Diceros bicornis minor: one gene and its partners. The protein of the gene in region 1 purifies or fractionates together with the protein of each later gene. This does not show direct contact. Links are inferred from orthologs where the notes say so. Each region holds a gene or a part of one and is shown in the gene's direction. Other genes may lie near its edges.

Evidence for each region.
Region 2: the proteins of CD84 (region 1) and SH2D1B purify together in Homo sapiens (affinity purification with western blotting; 3 studies listed by BioGRID and IntAct, with this or other methods). This does not show direct contact. The link is inferred for Diceros bicornis minor from reciprocal best matches to the Homo sapiens genes CD84 and SH2D1B.
Region 3: the proteins of CD84 (region 1) and SH2D1A purify together in Homo sapiens (affinity purification with western blotting; 4 studies listed by BioGRID and IntAct, with this or other methods). This does not show direct contact. The link is inferred for Diceros bicornis minor from reciprocal best matches to the Homo sapiens genes CD84 and SH2D1A.

The regions. Positions count from the first base shown.
Region 1 is NC_080743.1:65,189,924-65,196,524, reverse strand, and holds the start of CD84 (SLAM family member 5), read left to right. Parts: upstream 1-2,637; 5' UTR 2,638-2,666; coding exon 2,667-2,712; intron 2,713-6,601. UniProt on the Homo sapiens protein: Self-ligand receptor of the signaling lymphocytic activation molecule (SLAM) family.
Region 2 is NC_080743.1:69,029,217-69,035,817, reverse strand, and holds the start of SH2D1B (SH2 domain-containing protein 1B), read left to right. Parts: upstream 1-2,756; 5' UTR 2,757-2,834; coding exon 2,835-2,968; intron 2,969-6,601. UniProt on the Homo sapiens protein: Cytoplasmic adapter regulating receptors of the signaling lymphocytic activation molecule (SLAM) family such as CD84, SLAMF1, LY9 and CD244. In SLAM signaling seems to cooperate with SH2D1A/SAP.
Region 3 is NC_080781.1:114,108,417-114,115,017, forward strand, and holds the start of SH2D1A (SH2 domain-containing protein 1A), read left to right. Parts: upstream 1-3,357; 5' UTR 3,358-3,513; coding exon 3,514-3,650; intron 3,651-6,601.

The DNA.
Region 1 (6,601 bases):
AATTCCATCCATCAAGGGTTTTTTGCATACACCATTCATTATATATCCCATAGAACAGTATGATTTTTATTTTGGCTTTCTTGTTGTTACCACGGAATGAAAAGACTTTCGTATCCTTCTGCATCATATCAATAGAAGAAGTCTCAAAAGCGAGTATCTTCTTGATAAAAATACACTAATTGTCTGGCAATCTAAGGCTGAAAGACAGAGATAAGACACTGGTCCAGGCTCAACAGGAGATAAGGGCTTGAGTAAGATACCAATCTAGGATTTCTCAAGACATAGACATGAGACCAAGCAAGAGTTTTAGATGACAAAGGAAGGAGGATCGTTCCTACAGAGAATGAAGAAGCCAAAAAGAGAATACAAAGTCAGGTTTTCAGCAACTCTTGGCAACTGCATATTCTTTCTTCTTTCCTCCTTCTCTGTGGAACTCAGATGTGATAGACGTGTATTTTTGCACACATAGTAATTACATATTTCAGGAATACTTGCTTGCTAAAAATATTGAAAGTAATATGGTTGAATCTTGTGAAAAGAAATAATTAATTTGGGAAATTCCATTTTTATTTTCAATCCTTCTTTGGTCCCAAATGGCTGCCCAGTTTAAGACAGGAACCTAACGAGACAGGGCCATACGCACAGCCCTGGCTTAACAAGATAAGGCCCATAACCAATCCGCAAGCTAGGAGAATCAGATAGAGACCATCAAGATCCACATTCTGCAGTTTTGGGACTTTCCCAGGCTTACGCATGCGCCCTAGCACCCAGGAGTCCACCAAAGGTGACCTTAGCCCAATTAGCATAGTAAAAATCACACCCAGGGGTGGATAGCTAGCATGATAATGATACATGTGTCACATGTAGTAGCATGCTACACAACAGCGCAGGCGCAAGCACAACGCCATCTCTACATGCCATGACAAGGCACTCCTCCCCAACATTTGCCTAATAAAAACCCCACACTCCTGCTCCCTAACAACCTGGTCACTTGTCCCTTTCCTTTCTGCACCAGCTCCCTTGTGCCTCTCCTGCGCACAAGCTAATAAAATTTTACTTTTCTACTCCCCTTTGCTGTCTCTCTTGATTTCCATCCTGGGCGACAACAAGGACCCAATGTGCCAGTAACAAGTTCACTATATCTACATAAAGGCACTCAACTATTCAATATTGAACAAGTATATACGGAGAATGATGAGCAAGATTGTTCAGTAAGTGACTCTGGAGGCTCAGGTTGCCTAGAAATGTGCTAGCTGGCTAAGGACTTCTCCCAGTGGGAAAGGCTGTATACAATCTTCATTCCCCAAGTCTCAGGGTCTATCCTTAGCTTTCTTAGCACTCCTCAAAACAGCTGGGTCCAAATTCAAACTGCTTGACTTCTGGACCCAAATATTTATTCCCATCACCACTCCCTGACACCCCTCACAAAGAAGGCCCCTGTTTTTCTTCTAATCGGTAGTAGGGGGGCCTCTACTAGAGAACAGTCCTATGTTACACCTAGCTCAACCATAGTATAATAATATTAATTATATAATAATTATGTAATTATTATTATATAACTATATATAGTAGATTTATATGTAATCCTATTATATACTATTATATATAACTATAATTACGCAATATTGGTTGCTACTATTTGTTAAGCTCCTATCGTGTCAACACATTCTTCCTATTCCCTCTCCCCCACCACCTTTCTCCTAATAATGCTAACTTACTCTTAAGATCTGTCTCAGCTTAGTTCTCAGTTCCTTCATGAAGCTTTCCCCACACTCTCCTAGCCTGGGTTAGATGCCCCTGCTGCTCTCCCAGTTCCCCATAGTTTCTCTCTTGCAACATTTATCACACCGTATTGGAACTGCCTGTTTAATTGTTGATCTCCCCAACAAGAGTATGAGTAAAGTCAAGTACCTGAGGGTTCTGTAGATGTTCAATAAGCAATTTGCTGTTTTCCTGTTTAACTTGAGAGGGGACTCAGGGGTCTCGAGGATTCGTGAGCTTATTTTGCAGAAGATTTGTGAGCTTGTTTTGCAGAAGAAAGAGAATGCCTTTGGGAAGGTTACAATCACCAGATGGCTGGCCCCCAGCAGCCCTTGAAGCCCAGAAGTCAGATTGCCCAAAGGCTTATCAGGAATGACCCCTTTGTTTCTCCAAATCTCCTCTTGCCAAGCCCCTTAGCTCTATAAAACTCCCCTGCTTTCTGCTCTTGGGAAGGCAGATTTGAGTGAACTCATGCTCTCACCTTCTTGTTTCGGCCAATTCGAATAAATCTTTCTCCATTTCCTAGCACCAATGTCTCAGTGTTTGGCTTACTGCACATTGGGTGCATGAACTTGAGATTAAGAGGTTCAGTATCATGAGCTCCATGAAAGGAGGGAGATCAACTGCTTTGTTGCTCTTTATATTGCCAGTGCCCAGAATAGTACCTGGCACATAGTAGGCATTCCATAAATATTTGTTGGATAAATAACTAATTAATGCTAGGCACCTTATGTTACGTAGTAGGAAAAAAACTACCATCCCAATACATAGACAAACGTTTCCTAAACAGTTAACTCACACTTCCTTTCTTAAAGATGGCTATAAAAAGAAGCAAGAAAACTAGAGTGAAACTGACTCTGCTTGAAGAGTGCCGTTGTTGTCTACAGATTATTCTCTGGGAGAAGATGGCTCAGCGCCGCCTAGGGATCTTGCTCCTTTGCCTGCAAACCTGTGAGTTCTGACCCTTGCTGATCCCCTCCTAGTTTTCTATTAAGTTTTAGAAATTGCCCTTAAGGAAGACATTGAAATTCCCTTTTGATCTGTTTTAAAAGGGGGTCCCAAAAGAGATCCAACTGGCTGGGGAAAGACTTAAGATTTAAACCTAACTATTTTTCAGCTTTAGAGTTTATATTTCTGAATTTTGTCTGTGTCCAGTCTCCACAGGTCTGAGACAAACTCTTCTGCTCAGGAGAGTCAGCACTTGGTAGACCCACCCAGAAATCCTGGCAAGAAGAAATAATCCAAAACCTTAAATAGCTCAAAAGCAATTTCTTTTTGGCATATATAGTTTTTGGTTATATATAGTTTTGGTTATATAGTTTTTACAGAGCTACGCCATCTGCAATTCTATTTTATTTCTCCAGCAGATTAGAGTAATGCATGACTATAATTATCATTGTAAAAACTTCATCTCTATAAGCTCCCCTTATTTTCAAAGCACATTCAGAGCTATTCCTCTGCTGTATCCTCCAAAAGCTCGCAGAAATAAATGAGAAAGAGATTATTATCCCTATTTTACAAATAAGTTAGGTCTCAAAAAAGAAATGGAGAACTTGAACTAAGGCTGTTTTTCTTACTTATGGCTTAGCAGTAAACTGTAAAGGACAAAATGAATATTGGTTGTTAGTACAAAGAAAACTATGTGACATTAACGTAGCTCTGGGAGAGTTTTGTCACTGCATATATCATCTCACTAAATCTAAGCAATTGCCTTATTTATATAAAAATTGACTATGTTTGGCATTTCTAAATCTACTTAACGTATCACTTGCCTGCTCTGAAAATGCACTACCAAATTCCTGGCATGAGTTAGGACACAGAGAATCTAGTGAGTTAGGATTTCCTGAAAGGTGGAGTCAATGCACCTTGGTCTCTCTGGTTCTGAACCATTTAAAGCTGTGGTTCCTTTATTTTGATCTTCACGGAGATTGCAACCACTAGGCAGGCCAAGTTTTTGGAGCCTATGCTATTCACTCTGACACGGCAGATAGAAAATGCAAGTAGACGGGGAAAAGAGTTGGATAGAACCTAAGTGGAAATCTAGGGATGTCCCCAATCTTCCAGAAAAGGGATGGACAGGTTGGCATTTGATAATACTTACTTTGCAAAGCATTCTACAATTTTTATGCTTACATTTTTGTGTTATCCATACTAAAACCATTGAAATAAGCAAGATAGATATTATTAATCCCATCATGCAAACAAAAAAAAAGCATAAACTAAGATTCTGGTTAAAGAATTCACCTGAAGTTTCACAACCAGAAATTGGTAGAGCTGGAAATGGACATTGGTTCTTCTCACCCCAAGGCTATAGCTCTGTCTGCTCTACACTCTTTCTGACCTCCTCACTCTTTAAGTTTTCAGATCCTTGATGCTCTTCAAAGGGCTAACACATGCTACGATAAAAGGCAGCTCTAATATACACTTGCCTCATCTACTGAAACTGAAGTCAAAGTTGTCAATCAGCTAGTAGTGAATCATTTATCCACCAGATTTGTGACTTTGGGGAAGTCACATAAGCTCTCCCTGTTGTTTCGACTTCAAAATGGGGAATCTATCAGTACAATAGGATTGTTTTGAGAAGCAAAATGATAATTCATGTGCAACACTTGGCGCAGTGCCTGAATATAGTAAGTGCCTAACATATATTAGCTAACGCTGCTGTTGTCTTTCACATTCGCTTGTCACGTGATATTAGGAAGAGCTAAGGCTTTATTGCACAGAGATCCTGGACAAGGCTCTTCCATCTGGGATGGTCCAAGGAACAGGAGCAGGAGAAAAGGTGGTGGGAGTTTGAGCTGAGGTGTGGGCTGTTGGGGCTCTAAGAGAGGAAACCAGGGGTAAGATATTTATTTTGTCAGGGATCCCTGAAATGGGGGTGGGGGCTTCTTTTCATAAAAGTAAAACCAGAAGTACTTTCATGTATCATTTGTCTTTGCTGAATGGATCTGTTCACCTCATAAAGATTATTTCACAAACATTTCCTGAGTGCAGAAATATACTCTAAACTCCTCCTGCTGCTCTTTCTGGCAAACATGGTCCCTTATATTTAGCATTAGGCTTAGAAGTTAACACTGATTTTATGCACTTCCCTGGAATTCAGAGCAATGGAAGCAGCTGAGAAGCAGTGGAAAAGAAGATTAGAAATCCCCATTTTCCCTTGAAATCACTGAAATAAGAGAAGTCTTGAGTGTGTGAACTCGTGACTCTTCCATATTGGAAAAGTTTTCTCTAAGAACCAAGATTCATAGTCATGCTCTGATTTCAACTTGCTCATCAGGACTTGTGATCACTGTGACTCTGACTGTCCCTCCAAGTAGCCACCCACTCTCTGGCATAGAAGACAGAATGAGTCTACCACATTTGCTCCATGCCCATTTCTCTCTACATGTTCTCTCTCACATTCTTTTAATTCTTCCTTTTCTCCACATCTTTCTGGCTTATTTCTTCAACCCTTCCCCTTGCTCCCTTCTCCTATCTCCCACCAATAATAGTAATAACTAACCATTTATGGAACAATCACTACATGTCTGGCATTACTCTAAGTAGTCTACATTTATTGTTTTGTTTAATCCTCAGAATGCTCTATGAGATGGGTACTATTCATATATTTCAATTTTACAGATAAAAACATTGAGATGCAGAAAATTAGAGGTCACTTAACCAAAAAATAGAGGAAGTAGGATTTGAACTCCAGTGTCTTTAGATTTAACCACTGAGCAATGCTGCCTCCACCAACTTTGATGCTGAAGTGGAATAAAATACTGTCCTTACTATTGATAGTTATCACATTGCGGGAATTTTTAGTGAAAAGTAGTGATTTATTCTCAACAAGATAGGATTAGTCAGAGGCCTGGGCCTGTTTCTACACCCACCTGTAGAGGAGGGTGGGGTTTGGTGGGCAGGCTTTTGTCAATAACAAAAGTTTAGGCAGGCCAGCAAGGCGGAATACCAAAGGAAAATACCATATTCCGACATGGTTCAAGTACCATCCTCATCGATACGATTTGGGTTGACTTGAATTAGCTTCTTCAAGACAAACAAGGGTCCAGTATCAACAAAGTCTTGATGTCCTGTTGAATCTAGAACACAGTCGTGGGGCATTCCAATAGTTAATACTTAGAAGTCCAAAAAATGAGTGGGCTCATCTGGATATCTGTCCGTGAATAAGTAGGCCCCAACCATCATTCTGGGGGTTAGATACAGGATTTCACACCTGGAGAAGAGTCCTGGCAAGAGCCAATTTGCCACTAGTCCAAAATCCTTGCAGAGAGGAGCCTTTAAGATGAAAACAAAGCCTCTGTTCTAGAAAGAGATTTGAGCAGACTACTACCACAGACACTCAGAAAAGCCTCAAAAGCAGAAGCTCAGTTATAGAAATGGAAAAGTAATATCATGAATGAGGAAAACTGGATATCAGGACATCAGCTGGAAAATCCAGTTTCCAAATAGAGGCCAGGACGCTGTGTCCCTATGATAACACAGGACTCCAGTAGGAGGGAGTAAAGACCCATCTTGTCAGCCTGCTCAGCCCTGGAAATCAATATCGTAACCAACAAAGCAGCCATAGTGCCTTCACAGCAGATGCCCAAAGGTCAGTGCTAGGCTACTCAGGTATTTCCTGAATCAAACCTTTCTTGTCTTGAATCTTGGAGAGGGATGAATTTGCAAGTTTGAGGGTAACTAGGCTCATCTATGTGGAAGCTGGAAACGAAAGAGGTATAAGCAATCAGTCGGGGGACTGATGTTGGTGGAGCTGACTATATACCCGTATTTCTTGTGTTATACTCAATTTCTGATTATGTGCTAGTAGAGGGGAGTGGTGATAAAACAAATGGTT
Region 2 (6,601 bases), about 3.8 Mb from region 1:
ATTCATTTCAAGTTCAACTTTTTTTTTTTGGTGAGGAAGACTCACTCTGAGCTAGCATCTGTTGCCAATCTTCCTCTTTTTTTGCTTGAGGAAGATCCACCCTGACCTAACATCTGTGCCAATATTCCTCTATCTTGTATGTGGGTCGCCGCCACAGCATGGCTGACAAGTGGTGTAGGTCTGCTCCTGGAATCCGAACGCGTGAACCTGGGCCACCAAAGTGGAGCACACTGGACTGAACCACTAAGCCAAGGGGCTGGCCCCAAGTTCAACTTTTTTTGAAAGTACACTCCACAGTGGTGCTGTGTGTTTCCTGCTGCATCAAATTAGTAGGCATTCAATATCTGGTTGTCCCACTCTTAGATGTGCTAAGATTGGTCAGTGGGTTTAGGTGGTGACAGCATGATCTCTCCCTTGTAAAGACCATTATCAAACATTTCCCTAAAGTTTTCACCCACTGACTATCTTTGCCTGAATTATTTAGTACAAAATAGAATTGAGATGGTTCTATCAGAGGGTAAATGCCTATACAAATTTGCTAGATATCGCCAAACTCTCCTCCATTGTAGTTGTAACCATTTCATATTCCAGCCAACAATGTATGAGATTTTATTCTATTTCACCCCAGCATGACCAACCCAGTATGTTTTCAAACTTTTGATTTGCACCAATATGATAGGTGGGAGATGTTATCTCAGTATGTATTTAATTTGCGTTGTTCTTATGTTGAGCAAGGATGAGGGCATTGGGTTTTGACACAGGAAAAAAAGGCATTAAAGACCCTGTGATGCTAAAGATCTTGAACATGCATCCAATTATTTCCTCCCTTATTTTAAAAAAAATATCCTTGCATCAAGCTTGGTAGCCAATTTCCTCTTTCATCAGTAAAAATTCTCTCCTGAACTGCCATAATTCCCAGGAAGTTAAATGGTGAATTGCCCAAGGCCACACAAGAGAAATCAGGATTTGAAAGCACATTTCTCTGATGACAAGTTCCTTGATTAGTGTCACTCCATTACACCACATTACACCAACCCTGGAGCAGTGGAACTTCCAAGGAGGAACGAAAATCTCCTACTAAGAAGTTCAATGCAAGACAGATCCCCAAGAGTGGGTGGGCAGCTCGTAAACAAAGCAGCAAGATGAAATAATCATCTGGGTTAAGAAAGCATTAAGAGAAGTAAGGATGATTCATGAGCACATGGTTCTATCTTTATAGATATATATTTGAGATATGTAGCAATTCCTATAGATATTTGGATAAGGCAGTTGAATAGGGAGAAATTCACATGCAGTTTATAACAACTGACATTGCGTGATGTTAATTGTGAGAGTTAGTAAATGTAATCCATTTTAAAACATTGGATGCTAGATATGCTTGCATGACTTCTTCTATCTGAAATTAATTAATTAAAAATTAATTAATTGATAATGTGTAGGATGGTTTTGTTGCTTAAAAAGGCCTTGGAGGAAATAGTGAGACGTTGGTCAAAGGGCGCAAACTTCTAGTTAGTAGATGAATAAGTTCTGGGTATCTAATGTACAGCATACTGATGATAGTTAATAATACTGTCTTATATACTTGAAAGTTTCTAAGAGAGTAGATCTTAAATGTTCTCACCACAAAAAAGAAATGGTATTTATGGGACAAGGTGGAGATGGTAGCTACTGCTATGGTGATAATCATTTTATAACGTATAAGTGTATCACATCAACACGCTGTACACCTTAAACTTACACAGTGTTATATGTGAATTTCAATAAAGTTGGGGAAAAACAGGCCTTGGAAATTACTCTTAGGGTTAACTCTGACCCTCGGATAACAGAAACCACCTTTCCCAAGAATGTCAGTTGATCAAAGTGGAAAAGGCTCAGCAGGAAAACAAAGGAATTTTCTCATCAACATCAGATTGTCTAAAGGGGGCCAAGTATCTCTGACTAGATAGACTTTTCTTGGTCTCTCTTCATGGGGACACATCACTGCTGTCCTCCAGGACGGGAACTTCAAAGGACCTGAAGGTCTTCAAACCCAAGCCTAATATCCTCTTTTCTTCCACCCAGAGAAGCATCCTTGCACTAACTTTGTATACCCAGATAATCCCTCCCACCTGCACCAGCTCCTTCCCCAAAAGGCACAGTGCCAGAGAATGTTAAAAATGGCCTTTGTTTACCAGTGGCTAGCAGCTTTAGCCAGGGAATGGGCTGTTCTCTGCTATGGTGTCCAATTGCTTTCTGTTTCCATTGACATCTGCCATTTTTCACGTCATTTGACCCATGGAAATCTTACCTTTTCAATTGTCCCATCGTGTCTAGACATATCTGGATTCATTCAGCATCCAAACACTTTTGAGCACCTGTTCTGAGCTAAGCATAGCATAATCACAGGCAGCTTCAGCAGAAAATGGGCACCTATTATAGCAGAAACAGTGGTGTGCTCTCTGGAAGGGACACCAGTAGCCAGAGAGAAGGGGAAAACTGGTGATTTAGGGTGATATACAAGGCTCCAACCCAGTGCCGGGGAGCTTGACTTCAGCATTGCAGCCCCATCCCCGTACATCACTGATTCTGTTGTGTAATCAAACATGCTCTCAGCCACTTCTGTGAGTCACACTTGGGCCACTTATAGGCTGAAAAGTCTTGGTCACTTTATCACCCCCACCCTTCTCATTTCCTGAATCTTGCGAAATTGGTGGAGTCCCACAGAACAACTTCATCTCATTGCTACCAATCAGAGGAGAAAGAGGTACCACAGCGGGCCCCATTAGGCCAGCTGCCTCCACTTCCCTTCTCAAGGCCGTCGCCCACTGGATTTCAGGGATACGAGAGGGCTCTCCATGGATCTGCCTTATTACCACGGGCCTCTGTCCAAGAGAGACTGTGAGACCTTGCTGCTCAAGGAAGGGGTGGATGGCAACTTTCTGTTAAGAGACAGTGAGTCTCTTCCAGGAGTCCTGTGCCTCTGTGTCTCGTGAGTAGCCTCATCTTCCATGCATTTGAAACTTTGTATTGAATGTAGTAATGATAACCAAAGTCCTAATGAGCAGGGTGAGAAATAGCTGGACACTGCAAGGAGAGGTTGGAAGGAATGTGTCTGTCTAAGCTTCTCCAGCTGCGCTTCTCTCCCTGGTACAAATGCCACAGGAGCAGACTCTCTGGAATAGCCAAAGTGGGGGGCAGTGGTGGTGAAGGGAAGGGCTGCAGGAAGCATGGGCGGTGAGGGGAAATGCAGAGAAGGTAGCCATGTGAGAAAGGTCCTTTCCAGTAGAAGTCACTTTATTTGGAAATATAACCGTATGGAAAAGGCTAGGGACCTTTTATGAAATTTCAGCTTGAGAGAACACGTTTTTACATGTATTCTGCTGGCTCCACTTGCAATACTTAAAATACTTATTATATTTCAAATTTTGTTAGATTTGTAAAGGGCTTCACACACATCATTTCCTTTCATCCTTCTTGTCATCTGTCAAGGCAAGCATAAGCAGTCCCCATTTTCTAGATGAGAAACAGAGACCTGGAGTTCTCAAATGACTTGCTTGTGTTAAAATTCATCTGGCATTTCCAAAGGTCTGAGTTCAGTATGAAATTCCAGGCCAGAGTATCAGAGCTACCATGTTTAGCCCAGTTTAGAAAGCAATTCAGAACACATATCAGCGGGAATCCACTATCTTTAAGTATCCTCCTCTTTACAGAGAACACTGAACTTTTTCTTCTACCTGTTATAGGAATTAAAACTCAAATTTCTCTATGGATGCACTTCAGTGCTTCTTAGAATTAGGGAGCTATGAGTACAAATTCAAAGAATGATGACATACCATTTTTGCCTATTCAATGGGCAAGAATTAAAACTATGAAAATACTCAGAGGTAATTAGAGTGCTGGGAAGCAGACAGCCTTGCACACGCTAATGCAGCCTCTTTGGATGGTAATGTGGCCAAAACATAATATACATGGATATAACCCTTGACCTCAAATTTCACTAATAAAAATCTATCTTATAGTTATGACTCCACAGTATGTGCAAATTGGCATTAACAAGATTGGGCAAATCTATGTATGGTGTGAAAAACCTCTAAGATCTATTGTTGTGTAAAAAAGGCAAGATGCAAAGTTTGATTCCATTTGTGTAAAAAAAAAAAGATACCTATATCCTTGTATATTCATATAAAATTTCTAGAAGGTATACAAGAAACTTATAATAGTGGTTACAGCTGGGAATTTAGATGGAGTGAGTTAGGAAAAGGGTTGTGGATTCATTCTTTTCATTTGATAACTTTTTTTTACTGTTTAAATGTTTTATTTGTGTGCGTATTATTTTTGTAATTTAAAAAATGTCTATAAAAATGTAGTGAATACCTACTATCTATTCAAACACTGTGCTAAGGCCTGGGAAGATTCTAAGGTGATTTCAAGCCTTCTAAGAAGGCTTAGAGGAGGTGGTATTTGAGCTGGGACTTAAAGAGTGGGTAAGATTTGGTTACATGGAAATGGGATGGAAGGCGTTTTAGGGAAGGGTGGAGGTAGGAAAAGAGGTCTAGAATAGAATATTTTAAAGCACACATGAATCACGTAGGGTGCTGGAAAGGTAGTTTGGAAACCAACTTTCAGAAAAGTAGGTGTAGCATAGTATTATGGGGTCTTTAAAAAAATGATTCTGTAGCTAATGGGGGAACATGGATGGTTTCTGAGCAGAGAAGTGACAAGACTGGTGCTGAGTTTAGGAACTCCAATCTGATATGGAGAATGTACCGAAGCTGACAGATGATGGCCATAGAGACTGTTGTGTCTCTGGATGGGAGATGGGGAGGAACTAGCTATGGTGGGGCAAGCAGTGGGAAGAGAAAAAAGAAGAAGTTGCAAGGGTGTGACCTTGACCAAGATCTCAGGGTAAGTAGTCTATTTTGGGATTCTCTTTAAAAATTGACATTTATTCTCAACTGTTCTGTGGTGTATCAATCTAGCTTATATATTCATCTAAAGAGAAAGTCACTAAGAAATGTAAAAAATAATAATAATAAATCAAATGGAGAGGCAAGAACCAATATTTGTTGGGCACCTGCACATGATCAAGCCTCACCCTACTCCTTGCCCATGTCACTGAAAGGCAGACAAAATTTCAGGAACCCTCAGGCTTAAGGCTCAGGCCAAATAGCCCACATCAAAATGGCTCTCATCATAGTCCTTGTGAAATTTTGTTATCACACAGATCAGTACAGACCATTCAATTCTAGTTGCTCAACAATTATTTAAAGTCTCTCTGGGCCGGCCTCGTGGCTTAGCGGTTGAGTGCTTGCACTCCGCTGCTGGCTGCCGGGGTTCGGGTACCGGTCGTGCACCGACGCACCGCTTGTCCGGCCATGCTGAGGCCGCGTCCCACATACAGCAACTAGAAGGATGTGCAACTATGACATACAACTATCTACTGGGGCTTTGGGGGAAAAAAATAAATAAATAAAATTATAAAGTCTCTCATATGCCAGGCACTATGCTAGACCCTCAGTTGGTGCCTTCAACACCGCTCAGAGCCTGGAGGAAGCAATAGGGAGGTAAATGGACACTGTGAGGTGTGGGATAACTGTAATGACCACTCTCAGCAGGGCAACTTCTAGTTTTCACAGACTGAAATACAAAAACTATAGGAAAGGTTAGAAATAAAGGAAGGAAGTCACAGAGACAGTTGGCCCAGCAGGATATAGCATTGACCAGAAAGCTATGTGGTAACAGTGGACAGGAAATCTTACCTGATCTCAGTATGATATAGCTTCCAGAAAACACCAACGTGCAAAATGTTGTCTGTGTAGTGTGACTTTGTGGGTGTCAGAAGTTGAAGCTAGGTCTGCCTTTAGAATCAGTACAGTCAAAATGAAGTGGATATTAGGAGATGGAAGGGACTCATCTGCAGCGTGAAGGTGAGGAGAGACTTTCTGTAGCCGCAGGAAGGCTGCAGGTGAGAAGAACCTGAACCTTGACTTACTGCACGAACTCACTGAGGAGGAAACAGCAATAGAAAGAATGAGTAGAAGAGACCTCAAGAGTCATCTCCAGCTCTCAGATTTTGAGCTCTTTGGAAAGACTCTAGAGTTCAGAAAGAAAAAATAATTCAAAATTTTTGTTGTTTTAGAAAATCAAATGCAGAGAAAGAATAAAAAGGAAAGCAGAAATTATCTCAATCTCACCACTCAGAAATCACGCTTTCTGATATTTCAGCACCCATCTCTCCAGACTTCTCTCTATGCATATGCACGTATAAGCAAATATATATGTGCATAAATGGTTCATGTTACATGATGGCCTGTTTCTTTCAATGTATTGTAGGTATCTTTCCACGTCAGAGAAAGCCAATACACATCATCCTTTCACGACCGCTTAGTATTTTATTGATTGGATATATCATAATTTAGACATAAGCACACAATTAGGTTATTTCCAATTTGGTCCAATGGATCCAATGTAATTTGAGACTATTAACATTTTTGTACTTACATCTTTGAAAGCTTGCCCAACTCTCTCCTTAGGATAAAATCCTAGATGTTTTAACATTTCTACACACATTGACAAATGAGTACAACAAAAGGTTGTACCAATGCACATTCCAATCAAGATC
Region 3 (6,601 bases), on another chromosome or scaffold:
AACCCAGATCTTATCAAAAGGAGGTGCTCTTTTTTTAAGACATTTTTTTTTCTTTTCTCATTTTTGTAAAGGAAGTGAATTTTAGTAAGTGCCGAGAGAAGGTGTAAACTCACCACTGGTGACAATATCATAACACTGTCACAGGAGAATTCACACCTATAGATGAGCTAGTTGAAGAACAAAGTTAGTTTTGAAAGGTTAGAGAAAAGGATTTTGAAATGTCAGATCCACTCTATAAAATTGACCACCCTTGGCATCATCCCTTTAATCTACCTGGGTTTGAGAATAGCCTAGAGCATTTGAAATGAAGACAATTAGCACCTCAGACAGGGCATCCACATGTAAAATTCTGTCACCTCTCGGAGACCTCAGGAGGTGTCAAGTTTAGATAAGAAGACACTTTCAACCTTGGCTGACAGTTTGTCAGTGCTTTTATATTTGATTTAAATGGCATCTGTATTCTAAAAGGTTGTACTTTGCTTTAAACTGTGAAGCCCTCTTCCTCCATCTCATGATTTTTATTTCTTGCATCATTTAAAAACAACAAGAATAAAGATCTTTCCTCTATTGGGTGAGACCTGAGGAAACAGCTCTTGCTTCTTGCACACAAATGAGCTCAGTCCTTTTCCCCTCTGTTTCTCTCTAAAGTACGTTCGGCTTTTGTTTAAAGCACAGAATGTTAAAGCTGGAAGTGGCCTTAGGGGTCATCTGGTTCAACTCCGTTTGACAGATGGAGAAAATGAGACTCAGAGAGAGGAAGTGATTTAGTGGCGAAATATGGAATATAATTTGACTCTCATAATTGCTGGACTAGTCCTCCTTCCAATTCATCTTGCCATTTCAAAGGTGGGCCAGAGGCATGGAGAATCAAATTTGTGTGTGTGTGTGTGTGTGTATTTTTTTCTCTTATTTTCTTGAGAGCACTAAGTTCATTCATTTGTTCACTCATAAATACATTTAGCATCTAATATGTGCCAGATGCCGGCTACACAGTGGTGAACAAGGTACACAAAATCCTGATGTCATGGACCCTATGTTCTAGTGGGGAAGACAGACAATAAACAATCAGATAAGTCCGCTTCTAAGTGGATTATACTTGTATTTGGGGCCCATTCTTCCTAACTCTTTCTCTATTGGTGCCTCCACTATCTCTACTGCTCCCCTCTTTCAGCTTTTCCCCTTTCCTCTCTTGTAGGTATGGTGAGAGAGAAGGAAGAGAGCCATTTCAATCTCTCTTTCTCCACACTTCAAGCTCAGCGTGAAGTTTTGAATTTGCTCAAGTCAGGTTTAGTAACGGTGTAGCACTAGAGTGAAGATGTCAGTGTTTTTCATCAACACTGCAGTAGTGGGCTGGCTCAGCTGTCAGCTTGCTTGTGAGATGACAATGAGGGACTGGATGTGAGAGTTGTACTATTACCTTATAATTTGTCTGTTCTTTTATTATACGATTTTAGTTGTGCTGAACCCCACCGTACCTGGGTGCTTTGACAGCTGTGCTATTTTAGCAATACGGAACAAAACAGAGAACGAAAAGAAGAATGCATGGTACGCTTTTGCTGTCAGATCCAGGTTGCTCTGTTCTTAAGTTTGCGGATGATTTGTTCAGGGTTGTTCAGAGACAAAAAGGCTGGAGTTTTCTTTTTACCTATGTGACACTGAATGTTCTCACAGTTTACCTCACAGGCGGGCTGTTGTCCATATGGATTGGATGAGGGGATCCCCTTCCCTACCTTTTCCTTTCGTGTTTGAAATTCCACCATTGTGATTAATTTCTCTGGGCTAAGCATTTGCCTGCTCAAAATATAAAGATTTCAGGGTGGACTAACCTCTCACATCCTTAACATTGGTGTATTATCAGGTCAATTTCTTCCTTAACCCAAAGCGTGAAAAAGGATGAGAGGTGGAGTTGGCCATAAATGAATGAGGTAGGAAGATGATAAGACAATCTTGATTCAATTCCCCAGAGCCATCCCCAAATATCATCTTGAATGCTATTTTATTTATTTATTTTTTAATTTTGGTATTGCAAATGACTGTAGGAGGCTTATGTTCATGTTTTATCTACTAAGATTGATAGATTCTAAGGCTGGGCATACTTCAATCAAGAAGGAGAGCTGCCAATGAAATCTTAGAGGATTATTCTCAACCCTAGCGGGAGGATAGCAAATATCTAGCTTTGGTGCAAAGGCAGCTCTGTGCATCCGATCCATTGGTAGGACATGTGAGGACTTAAAAATTGTTCTCCCTTTCGAACTCCCAGCCTTGCCGTGTTCTCAAGGAACTAGGCGCTGAAGTTGTGGAAGATATACAACAGACAACGTAACTTCAGCTATTTAAATTCCAATTTTAAAAGTATTTTACATAATCAAAAGGAAAAATGTATAAGACCGTTCAGCTTCAAGCATTAAACAAAGTCTTATTCTAGCGAAAAAGGAGGAAGTTTACGGGAAATATTACTTAACAGCACATTTTGAAATAAAAGCATGGCTTTATTTCAGAGAAGGAAATGAAGGTTGAAAGGTTTTAAAAAATTAATGATAATTTAGCATCAACTGGAGAAAAAACATATTCTCTATTAACAACAGAGGATAAAAGTTACAACACAATTATCAACACTTGCAATATGATTTAAAACAAGTTTTATGCCCCAAATTCTGAAAGGTGGGCCCTATGACATCAGAGGGCATATACAAGTCCACATAAAGACAAAACACCACTAAATGATACATTCTCTCATTCAAGGCCCATCAAATAGCTAAATCTGGAACATGTCTGGACATAGAGTAATTTTTGTACCTCAAGCAGCACTTTGGGATCTTGGACAAGAAGGTAGGAAAAATCTGTATTTGTTCAAGATCAAGATTGCTCAAGAAGACTAGGAGGAGCAGAAGAGGAGGGGGCCTAGGGAGGGAGAGAAGATACTTGCCCCAAGTCCCTTGTTCACCTACTACTTCTGATTCTGTAGGAGCCTCCTGGCTATGCTCAGTTTTGGTCTCAGAGCTTTTGGCCCTTTCATTCTCTGTCAGTATTTTTCTGCCCGCATGAAGGCCATGTACAACTTGCCTCTATCATCACTCCCTTTTGGGAATAGTTAAGCTAAGTCACCCCTGGTGTTCGGTCCCTGGGAAAATGCAAGAACAGAAGCATTATCAAGCATTCCTGCGTGCAAGGGTCTGCATTGGCAGTGCCGCCCACATCTTGCAAGGACCTTCTTCCAATTGTCCTCCCCTCTCCGTATGAACCCTGTTTTTTTTTGGGGGGGGCGGGTTAGGAGGGGCGAGTGGGGAGGGGATCAAACCCTGTGGCGATAACCAAGCTGCTGAATCGCTGAGCAGGTTTTAATTGAAGTGTGAGAAGGAGGTTTTAAGGCAGGTAGACAACATCCTGTTGTTAGGGCGCTCCCCTCTCTTTTTTGCACATCTGGCTGAACTGGGAGTCAGGTGGCTGACTCGTGCCTGGTTGCCATCCCTTCAACCGTCCCACGCCTCGGCCCGCCCAAGAGTCCACCAAGCCATGGATGCGGTGACTGTGTATCATGGCAAAATCAGCCGGGAGACCGGGGAGAAGCTCCTGCTCGCCACGGGTCTGGACGGCAGTTATTTGCTGAGGGACAGCGAGAGTGTCCCGGGCGTGTACTGCCTGTGTGTGCTGTGAGTACGTCGCGGCCGCGGCTGGGGCTGGGGCCTGCAGAGGGCACGGGCAGCGGGCACGGGCAGTGGGCACGGGCGGCGGGGGGCCAGAGGCCTCAGTAGGCAACGGGTGGGCAGCAGGAGCTCGTCGAGGCCTCCTCCACTGCCCACCAGAGAGCCCTAAGGGCTTTCTCAGAGCCAGCCCAGGGCTGTGGTGGACCATGCTTTGGCCTAGGCCCCCAGTGGAGATTTCACTCCCTGGGCCCTCCCGCTCTCCAGAAGGGCCTCGCCCGGGCCGTTTAGGGCAGCTGCAGAGAATGCCCTTTGGGGTAGGGAAACGCAGCCTAGAATTTACCTTTGCTCCGAGAAAGACCCAGACTCCCGAATTCCGTTTTGACCTCCATTAGAGGCCAGCAAGCTGGAACCCTAGGAGGGTGGACAGGCCAGATTTGGGGCCACCAGCTCCTGAGAGAATGAAGGGCCTCTCCCTAGATCTCTTTAAATGGATTCGGAGGTGTCATGTGAAAAGAAGACCATCACATTCAGGGAGAGGAAGAAGACTAAGAAACTGAATCCACTACTAAGAATGCAATGCCAGTTAGGTCAGGACGCCGAGACGGAGATGTTTGTGAGTGAAACTGACTCTCTGGATCTGCTTATTTAGCTTCCTTTAGAGGAGTTGTGTGGGGGCAGGGGGTTTCAGAAATAAGACCCTTTCTTGATATAAACTAGGACTGACAACAGTCGTAAAGGGCATGGAGGGAAAACACCCTTGTTGTGATTCAACTTTGCCGTTTACCTAGGCATGTCTTAGTCTGACACCTCATTTTGAAGCAGATGCACCTTCATCTTTGCTCCAGGGCTCCAGAGTCAGGCAGAACTGAGACTTAATCCTGTGCTTGTCCAATGCTAGGCTTGTGACCTTGGCAAGTTAACTTCTCAGTCTCTCAGTTTTCTGGTCCATAAAATGGGTATAATATGACTACCTACTTCATAGGATTGTGAGGATTAAATGCCATAATGCAAGTAAAAAATTTAGCACTGGACCTGATACATAGTAAATGTAAGCTGTAGTTATTAATATATGCTTTTCTTCAGTCGATTTCTTTCAGTACTCATGGGGCATTTCTAAGGAAGTACCTAGCTCAATCACTTTTTGTCAGCAGGATAAAAATAGCCATGAAAAGACTGGCTCTGCACAATAGGTTCTAGACAGAAACAAAATGAGGGAAAATTCTTGGTAGTAATTTTGGTACCTAATGATACACTGTGAGCTTTTGAAGTACCCTCTGGGTCAGTGAAGAAAGATTATGCTGAGGTGTTAGAGGATTTTCTTTATTTTTTTAAATGGTCAAGCCATGTGTGGGGCAACTCTCAGGCCATGCTAAATACATTTATTATAAAGGCTTCAAGGGAAGTACGTGGAAGCCGTTGAATCTCTTGGGCTCAGATCTTTATGTTTTGCTTATATTATTGTTTTTCCCAGGTGGAAACTGGGCAAGGTCAATGAAAACCAACTAGTATTCTTAGGCCCTTTTCTTATCAAAAGAAGGTGGAGGAGTGAGTAGGCCAGCAAAAGGGGCTTCTTTAGGGAAGCTGACGTAGGAGGTAATGGGCCCCTTAACCTAGAGGTCAAAAGTAAGGTACAGAAGCCTGGGCAGGGGAGGGAGAGCAGGGGACAGTGTGTGGCAAGATGCGCCTAAGGCTTCAGCCACACTGGCCTTTTTGTTGTTCTTTAAGCTTGCCAGGCATGCTCCCCTCTTAGGATCTTTGCACTTACTGTTCCTTCCGCCTCGTCCCTCAGAGAGGACTTCCTTGACCACCCTATCTAAAATAAGTGCCCTCTCTCCGTCTCTGTTACACTCTATCACTTTATTTTATTTTTCTTCAAGGAGCTTTAAACTATCTGACATTTCCTTGTTTATTTATTTATTGCTAGGCTCTCCTGTTAAAAAGTAATCTCCACGAGGGCAGGGACATTTTCTCATGCACCAGGAACACAGCCTGGCACATAATAGGCATTATGATGCACATTAGGAGGTATGTAATGGGCACTCAATAAATATTTTTGAATTAATGAATGAATTGTCAAGGCAAATACTGTTCTTTACTGCAAAGAGCTTTGGGCTGATATCAGGAGGCCAGGGTGTAGTCTCGAGAAGTCACTCAACTTTTCTGGGTCTTGGTTTCCATATTTGTAAAACAGGAATAGGGATGTGTGCCCCACCTTCTGCATAAGATTACTGTTGGTAAAATATTCAAGAGAGGTGGACAACTCTAGGCCTTTGCCCATGTAGGCCAGGACCACATATGGAATTAATTTAGGCTGGTGGGAAATTCTCAAACATTTAAGTTTTCACCCAAAGTGAATCTTACATAAATGCAGTTTTGATGACTCTTAGTTCTCCATGCAAACCTCTTTATGAAGTAGCAAAAAAATAATAGGCAAATTGGGAGTCCGTCTAGCATGTCTTTTGATGGGCGCACTGGAGCCACCACGTCTTAGAGGGTGATTGCCACACTGTGCTGCTGAGGGAAGACACAAGGATACATTGCCTTTTATGACAGTTGCTCAACCTTTTTGAGCCAAGAGTCCCTTTTGATAAACGTAAACATTTTATTCCCCCTTTTTAGTACTACACTGTAGTAACAAAATTAAATTTTATTTTGAAATAAACCACGTACTCATTTTAAACAAAAATGTATATGCTTATGATATGCAGTAGAAATAACAATATAAATGGTGTCCTATACACATGAACAGCAAGGTATAGCTAATAAACATGCATTGATTGTAGGGTTGGTTCAGAATAGTTTCTCATTCTGTCTTTTGTTTATTCCCATTATCCAGGAAGGTTTGGTTGAGCTTTAGTTTCTGTACTTTTATTGTGGAATAACACATTGCATATGCCTTTCGAACTGTACTTTAAACTATGCTTGCAAACTATGCTCGCTCCTTTTCCCAGTTCTGA